Linked DNA regions of Rattus norvegicus. The protein of the gene in region 2 binds, or shares a complex with, the protein of the main gene of each other region. Links are inferred from orthologs where the notes say so. Each region holds a gene or a part of one and is shown on either strand. Other genes may lie near its edges.

Evidence for each region. The genes of interacting proteins can lie anywhere in the genome.
Region 1: Kat5 (region 2) and Morf4l2 share a complex: the UniProt entries of both Homo sapiens proteins name them as parts of the nuA4 histone acetyltransferase complex. The link is inferred for Rattus norvegicus from reciprocal best matches to the Homo sapiens genes KAT5 and MORF4L2.

Annotation. Positions count from the first base shown.
Region 1 is NC_086039.1:104,883,009-104,887,203, forward strand, and holds the start of Morf4l2 (mortality factor 4-like protein 2), read right to left. Parts: upstream 2,939-4,195; 5' UTR 2,869-2,938; intron 2,194-2,868; exon of another isoform or gene 2,034-2,193; intron 1,104-2,033; exon of another isoform or gene 651-1,103; intron 541-650; exon of another isoform or gene 353-540; intron 1-352. UniProt on the Homo sapiens protein: Component of the NuA4 histone acetyltransferase complex which is involved in transcriptional activation of select genes principally by acetylation of nucleosomal histone H4 and H2A.
Region 2 is NC_086019.1:212,329,472-212,333,744, reverse strand, and holds the start of Kat5 (histone acetyltransferase KAT5), read left to right. Parts: upstream 1-1,351; 5' UTR 1,352-1,356; coding exon 1,357-1,368; coding exon of another isoform or gene 1,369-1,467; coding exon 1,468-1,534; intron 1,535-1,605; exon of another isoform or gene 1,606-1,718; intron 1,719-1,854; coding exon 1,855-1,923; intron 1,924-2,011; coding exon 2,012-2,148; intron 2,149-2,407; coding exon of another isoform or gene 2,408-2,434; coding exon 2,435-2,590; intron 2,591-2,679; coding exon 2,680-2,754; intron 2,755-3,037; coding exon 3,038-3,112; intron 3,113-3,489; coding exon 3,490-3,738; intron 3,739-3,813; coding exon 3,814-3,903; intron 3,904-4,273. UniProt on the Homo sapiens protein: Catalytic subunit of the NuA4 histone acetyltransferase complex, a multiprotein complex involved in transcriptional activation of select genes principally by acetylation of nucleosomal histones H2A and H4.

The sequences.
Region 1 (4,195 bases), on a different chromosome or scaffold from region 2:
AAAAAGATATGATATCAAGCAAATTTGCGTCATTTAAAATTTTTCTTCCTCAGAAATATCTATCTTTAGTAACAATTGTTCCTGTCTTTCGGAGACAGGCTTCACGTCGAATGCCTTACACGCACTATTTTACTAGGCACATCTGAATCCGCGACCGAGATAGCTACTATTATCACCATTTTACAAACATGGAAACCGAGACACAGAAAGGAGCCTTGCCCAAGTTGGGCGTTGGCGAGCAGGAATACGCATCCAGTTTTGCTTGAATGTGAAGGCACTAGTTAATCCTATCTACAAGTCAAGAAGGAAAGAGGAAATCATCGACCCTTCCTCCCCACCCCCACCCCGAAACCTGAAACGAGAATCCAGTTCTTTCCAGCAGCCGACGTGTGACCACCGCTGCTCCTCCAACCGCCATAGTAAAGCCAGGTTTCTCTGGCAACTGATATCCATAGGCAGACACGTCACCCTGGAGGCGGGCTTAGCCCTTCAGCCAATCCTAGCCATCTTGTCTAAGTTTTAGAATGTTCCATACCCAAATGATTGGACCACCGCCCCCACGTCAGCAGTGACACTCCGCCGCAGTAAAGGCGGGTGCTAGCAACCTGCTTCTTCATGGTTAGGGCCCAAATCAAACCAATGAGCGTCCTTCTTCAGTGCGGGCTCCGACCAATGACGGTCGCCCTTTTAGGTTCTTAGCCCGCCCTCCAAGTGCGCTACAGCCGTTGGGTCAGAAGTCTATAGGGCAGCGTGTTCACGTGGCCCGTTTTCACGACCCAGAGTTCCCCTGGCCGTGGGTTTTTTTTTTTTCCCCCACCTTCTTTCCCTCGCGCTCTCCTTCTCTCCTGCAGGGAGGCATTATGGGTTTGTGGGTCCGTTCCCCCTCCCCCGCCCCCGCACCACAGGGAAAGGAAGTGCCGACGTGGCCTGCGGAAATAGGATAGGCGGAAATGAGCTAAGGTTCCCGGGAGTGGGAAGAGCGAGGTCAAACCAGCGCCACGCCCCCGAGCCTGTTGCGCAACCCTCAGAACGGGAGAAAAAAAAAAAACCCAACCAAACCAAAAGGAAAAATGAAGGTTTTGAGGTGTATGCGTGTGAGGGTGGTGAGTGCCATCGGGCGGATGCCCGGATGCCTTGAGAACTGGGGTGTATGCGCGCGGGCACGCTCGCGTGGCTGTGGAGTGTGGGTGTGGGCGAACAGCCGCCCTCGTGGCGCCGGGGATGATGGGTGTGCGCAGGCGTGCAAGCTCTCGCGGTGGCGGGAGGGGCCCTGAGAGTGTGTGTAGGTGAGGTCCCTCATTTTGGTGCATTTCTGCCTTTTGATGTTTGCAAACTGCATTAATAAATAAGACCCAAGAAAGTACTAGTACAGAGGTAAAGGCCTTTTGTTAGAAAAGCCTGCTGATTTAATTTAATCCCCCCTTTTTATCTTTCTTTGCTCGCTCTTTCTTTTTTATTTTATTTTATTTTATTTTCTTTATTTATGAGGCCTGTTCTAGCTACGTAGGCTTGGCAGGCCTGGAACACAAGAGACCCACCTGTCTCTTCACGGCCTCCCGTGCGCTGGCATTGAAAGCATCGGCCACCCCACCCAGTCTGATTTAATTTTAGACCCTAAAGATGCTTATTATTCCCACAATTTAGTCCAACAAAATAAACTTCTTCCATGGTGAGCATTCAAAACTATATTAGTAACGTAAAAGGGCGTTTCTTTTAAGTTTCCAAGTGTACACCCCGCCCTCTCTGTCTCCAAGGCCTCACCTTTGCCCCTCACCAAGATTACTGAGAACCTCCCTTTTGCCCCCCACCAAGTTTATTGCTAAATTGGTAGAAATAATTCTAACGAAAACAAAGACAATTAAATTCCCCAGGGGTTGGGGATTTAGCTCAGTGGTAGAGCGCTTGCCTAGGAAGCGCAAGGCCCTGGGTTCGGTCCCCAGCTCCGGAAAAAAAAAAAAAAGAACCAAAAAAAAAAAAAATTCCCCAGTGATACAGACTATGCCAATTTCCCGTGGATGCTAAGCCTCACCTACCTTTTGTCCTAATCTCCAAGCGTAGCGATCCAATATACATTCGGTCAGTTTTCCAGAAAGTTCATTGGATGAGCATTATACCTCTTGAATCTGCCACTAGATGTCACCAAATCCCAGCAAAGGATTTACTGCTGGGTTCCCAGGGATTGTGAGATTTAATTTTTTGCTCCACCCACTTCTTACAGGATCCGTAATCTCTGGATGACTCATATATATATATATATATATATATATATATATATATATATAAAATTCTTAAGAATAAAATCAAGTTCTGTGAAGTAATAATACTAGGCAAGGAATTACATATCTGAATATTTTGGTTAATTTCCTTAAAGAGAAAAAGTCATCTGTTCTTCTTGCATTTCTTTCTCCCTTGCCTTTTGATTTTACTCAGGATTGATACATGGGCCTAAATTCTGATGCTAAAACCCTTTGTGAGCTGTATGAGCACTTGAGCAGAAGGAGGGCCCTAGATTAAAGGCCGCATAGATTATATATTGAGACCCTGTCTCTGCATAAATAAATCCATGAAAGAATATTCTTTTTGCTTTTTGCCCGCTTTTCAGTACTTAACAATTCCTCTAGTCAGTCTGTAAAGGTAACTCGGAGGTAAAGTTAGACCTCAGCATTGCGGATTATCTTCCTCTTCAAACTTATCAGGTATGGGTGTTTACACCCCAATTTTATGTGATGGTTCTGTGCCCTCCTAAGCAAGTAGGTAGAAGCTTAGTATACCAAAAATTCTATTTTATCATGGCGAGAGTCATCACACAACACTCTTGGTTCTTAACTACAGTTTTCCCAAGGGAGCTCACGTTTGTGACGCCCTTACCTGAAGATCAGGCCTAGTCTCCGATGCAGGAGCCCGAGGAGACTCTCTGGCTGCAGGGCAGCTCAAGGTGTGTCTCCAGGTGTGCAGCAAAAGACCGATGCGCTCGATCTTCCTGCTTATATACTCGCTGTGTAGCGGGCGTCATGGGATTCTTGTCCTGTGTCTGGTTATCTTAGTGACTGATGTCATTGGGGGCTGGTTATCAGGTACAGCCTTGGGTGTCCTGGACCTCCTCCTGACTAAGCTGTTTTTGTAAGACAAAGGGCATTTCTTTTTACTATTCTCATTACATTCCGAAAAACTCGGTTGTGTTTTTAGAGTCAGATAGGAAATAGTAAAACATTTCACTTAGGTTTCAGAGCGCATAATAACATAGCCCTGAGGTGTGTGTGGTTTTTTTTAATTTATGTACCTGTGTGGCCTGTGCATTTTGGGGCTAAAGTTCACCTTTCTTTACGTCTTTTCCTCTATTGCTGTTCGCCTTATTTTTTTACAGAAGGGTCTGAGTAAACTCGGAGTTACTCTATGTGCTATTCTGGCTTGTCACTGAACTCCCAGGATCTGCCTGTCTCTACCAACAGCCCCCCTTAAAACACTGGGGTTATAGATCAGTGCCCTGTGTTCAGCTTTTATATATATGCTGGGGAACTGAACTTAGGCCCTCCTGTTTGAGCAGCAGACATTTACCCCTCCCCGGACATCTCCCCAGTCAGACCATCGATTTTTTTTTTAATATTTTCTATATTTCAGATGTATTAAATTCCTTCCCATAGGTATTTCTTTTTCTTAACAGAATTGTACTACATTATAATCAGCCAAAAATAGGTTTCAGGCACTAATTATATGTATTTATCCACCCGAGGGTGAAGGTTTTTTAAAAGATTTTAATTTTACTGTTTTTAATTAGGTATTTCTACACATGTGTATGTGTTCAGAAGTCAGAGGCACTGGATCCTCCGGAGCTGGGATTACTGGCTGTTCTGAGACACCTGACATGGATGCTGGGAACCTAACTCGGGTCTTCTGGTAGAGCAGCAAGTGGTCTTAATGGCTGAGCCACGTCTTCAGCTGCAAAGGGGAAAGGTTTTTTAGAGCGGTTCTCCAAAAATCAGAAGCATCAGTAAAACTCGGTAAGTTATCAGAATATTAGATTCATAGGCCCTGCTTTATGTCTCACAAATCAAAGGTTTTCTGGATGGAGCTTGGCCATCCACTACAAATTGTTCTAGTAAATCCAATGCACTCTAAAATTGGAGAACCACTGCTTTGGAGGGCTACAATTCAACACTCGTTTTTGGACACCACTAGAGGGTGCCATAGAACGTGT
Region 2 (4,273 bases):
CTACAGTGTACTCACATACATAAAATAAATAAATCTTTTAAAAAATATCTGTGATAGTTATTCTTGGTTGTCCATTTGACTACATCTGGATTTAACTAAAACCCAAAAATGGAAAAACACACATGTGAACAATTTTTGCCAAGTCTGAAGCAGGAAGACCCACTGGTTTTTGTTGTTATTTTGTTTTGGAGACAGGATTTCTCAGTGTAGCCCGGGCTGTCTTGGAATTTGCTCTGTAGACCAGGCTAGCCTCGAACTCAAGAGATCTGCCTGCCTCTGCCTCCCCCATGCTGGAAGACTGCTTGGTGGAAGACCCACTTGTAATCCAGATCTTTGAGGTGGGAGAACACACCTTTATTCTTGTTACTCAAAGTCAGAAGATACACCTTCTGGTGGAAACTAATGTAAAGACATGAAGCTTTTTCTCCCTGCCACCCCCCAGAGCAGGGTCTCTCTGTGTAGCCCTGCCTGTCCTGGAACTGACTCTGTAGACTAGGCTGGCCTCAACTCAAGAGATTCGGCTGTCTCTGCCACTACCGCCAAGCTGCTTTTACTCTTTGCCTACCTGTTCTCACTCTCATTGGCAACTCCACTCCTTCACTGTCATTATCTTCTTTGGGATTCTGATGTACAATGAAGATCAACTGAGACATCCACTCTCGTTGACTGAATGACTACTGGAATTTTGAACCTTTCCATTTATAGAGCCACATATATACTATTTTAAAAATAAAAATCCAATATTAAGAACTAAAAAATCAGGGGTTGGGGATTTAGCTCAGTGGTAGAGCGCTTGCCTAGGAAGCGCAAGGCCCTGGGTTCGGTCCCCAGCTCCGAAAAAAAGAACCAAAAAAAAAAAAAAAAAAAAGACCAAAGAACTAAAAAATCTTGCTAAGTCCCCAAGCCTGTGCAATAATATGCAGACACCTGGCTAGAATTTTAAATTCCTTCGGTTCTACTGATTCCCCGGGGTCCAAAACCCAACTCCTTAGCCTCCTACTCAGGGTGACACCTCACACTGCCACTATGAGGCTCGCCGGAACACTGCGGCCAGACAAAGCATAAACACTTGATCTGAGTGACCGGCGTCGCACCCGGTGGGCGTCACGTGACAGACTCGGCGTTCCTCCAATCGCTGTGCGAATAGTAGGGATTCCATCTAGTACTTGGCCTCAGGCTTACAACGCCCTGTTGTTCCATTCCTCAACCGGGCCCGCTTTTTACTACCAACCAGCTGGCAGTGACTCTCAAGTGTTTTCCTCTCAAGCAGTTTCGAGGGGCTCGGGCCTATAGCGCACTCAGCTCCGGAAGTGACGTTTCCCAGAGGGGCCGGAAGTGGCAGTGGAGGGAGGGAAGATGGCGGAGGTGGTGAGTCCGGTGCCCGGGGCGGGGCGGAGGGAGCCAGGGGAGGTGGGTAGAGCCCGAGGCCCCCCAGTAGCCGACCCTGGCGCCGCGCTGTCTCCCCAGGGGGAGATAATCGAGGGCTGCCGCCTGCCCGTGCTGCGGCGCAACCAGGACAACGAAGATGAGTGGCGTGAGTGACGTCGGGGGGCGGGTCCAAGGAACCTGAGGGCGAGGGGCGGGAGGGAGTCAACGATCACACGGGAGGGGGAGGGGCTTCTGCAATCCTGGGGCGGTCGCAGATACTCGGAAGGAGGGGCGTGACTTTTGGACGTACGGAGATGATCCGGGCGGGGCTTGGAGAGAGGTGTCACTTGGTGACTAAAGGGGTCTTGAACTAGCCCTTCTAAGTGCTGGGACGTAGACATCCAGCCTAGAGGTGGAATTCAGGTCGAAGGGTGGAGTCTCATGATCTGCCTTGATTAAGACCCCCTGTCTGTGTTGTTCCCTTAGCCCTGGCTGAGATCCTGAGCGTGAAGGACATCAGTGGCCGGAAGCTTTTCTATGTCCATTACATTGATTGTGAGTTCTGGGCCTGGAAAAAGTGGGTTGCTGGATAGGGTTGAGGGCAGCCTCTGGCATCCCTCCTGAGCCATTTTCACTGCTGCAGTCAACAAACGTCTGGATGAATGGGTGACTCACGAGCGGCTGGACTTAAAGAAGATCCAATTTCCCAAGAAAGAAGCCAAGACACCTACCAAGAACGGACTTCCTGGGTCCCGCCCCGGCTCTCCCGAAAGAGAGGTGGTGAGTAGGTCCCCCATTTCATCTTTTCTCTCCTGCCTCTTCCTTCTTGCATCTCTTGGCCTCAGGGGTTCCTGAATGGGCAGGAGGCAGCATTCTTTTGCCATGGCTTCAGCTTGCAAAGGATGGGGACCAAATTGCAGGTGTAGCTTCCAGAGTCCAGTATTGCCTTGCTTTAGAGAAGGCAGAGGGTGGGATTTGATCACTCCATGCTGAGGGGCCCATCCTCCCCTTCGCCATCCCACCACCATCCCCACCCCAGAGGAAGACCCTGGACCTATCTCTACAGCCGGCCTCCGCCCAGGCCAGCGGGAAGACCTTGCCAATCCCGGTCCAGATCACACTCCGCTTCAACCTGCCCAAGGAGCGGGAGGCCATTCCAGGTGGCGAGCCTGACCAGCCGCTCTCCTCCAGCTCCTGCCTGCAACCCAACCACCGCTCAACGGTACCCTCAGCAATTCCAGGGACCTTGCTTTCTTCTCAGGTCCCACCTTCTCTACCTTCTGACCCACCTTTCCTGGTTTCTCTCTGCAGAAACGGAAGGTGGAGGTGGTTTCACCAGCAACTCCAGTGCCCAGCGAGACAGCCCCAGCTTCAGTTTTCCCCCAGGTGAGTCTTCCAGTCTTTTTACATGTATGAAGGTTTTGTCTGTGATAGTCATATGTTCTACTTGCATGCCGGGTGCAATGGCCAGAAGAGGGCATTGGATGCACTGAACTAGAGTTGTGTGAGCCCCATGTGGGTGCTGGGAAAGGAACCCATGACCTCTGGAAGAGCGGGATTCTTAACCACTAAGCCACCCCAACAGCCCGTCTGGTCTTCCCCCCTCTTCTGTCTAGCATCCTCCTCCAGGATCATCTCATGGTCACCCTTTTTCTTCTGTCATCCACAGAATGGATCAGCCCGTAGGGCAGTGGCAGCACAGCCAGGACGGAAGCGGAAATCTAATTGCCTGGGCACTGATGAGGTGGGTATCAAGGAGCAGAGGAAGAGGGAAGCTGGGAAACAGGGAGTGGACTTGGGCATGGAGAGTTCATTCAGTGACCAATTTAAAGCAAACAAGGTGTTAGTTAGGCAGTGAGGGTGTTGGTTGGGCAGTGAGGGTGTTGGTTGGGAGCCAAGCAGATGAAGCATTGGGCTATTTTGTTTGTTTGTTTGTTTGTTTTGTTTTGTTTTGTTTTTTTACCATACCAATTTCTGGTTCTTGGTTTATTTTGGAAAGTGGAGATTATGATGCTTGCCCCTTAGTTGATGGTAGACTTGAAGGAAGAAACCTACGGCAGTGTTGTGAGCCATGTTCTGCTTACCTGCTGTTATCTGGTATTTTCCATTTGCCCTGGGCAGGATTCTCAGGACAGCTCAGATGGAATACCGTCAGCACCACGCATGACTGGCAGTTTGGTGTCTGACCGGAGCCACGACGACATTGTCACCCGGATGAAGAACATTGAGTGTATTGAGCTTGGCCGGCACCGCCTCAAGCCGTGGTACTTCTCCCCGTACCCTCAAGAGCTTACCACGCTACCTGTCCTCTACCTGTGCGAATTTTGCCTCAAATATGGCCGTAGCCTCAAGTGTCTGCAGCGCCACTTGGTATGAAGGGTCTTGGGAGGCTGCCTACCCAGTGTACCCTCACCAGTCCCCACCTGATCCTCCTTTTGTCCTTAGACCAAATGTGATCTTCGACACCCTCCAGGCAATGAAATTTACCGCAAGGGCACCATCTCCTTTTTTGAGATTGATGGGCGGAAAAACAAGGTCAGTGGCTTGTGCATGGGGCTGGAATACATCATATGAACAACCTTTTCCTGCTCAGAACAGTTGACCACTCTGGCTATAGATTAGTTCACTGTTTTTATTGAATGCCTGACGTAGAGCTGGGGAATGCACAGAACACTGGCATTTAGATACATTCTCTTCCCGGAGAGGTCACTGTCCATGGCAGAAGTAGACATACCAGCTATTCAGATCCCAGTGTGAGGAGTATCGGAAACAAAGGCTGGGTTAGCAGAGTTCAGAGGAAGCTGTCAGGAGCTTGGAGGTGTGTATGCCTAGAATTCCAGCACTCAGAGAACTCTGAGTTCAAGATTAGTCTGATATGAGTTCCAAGCCAACCTGAGCTATAAAA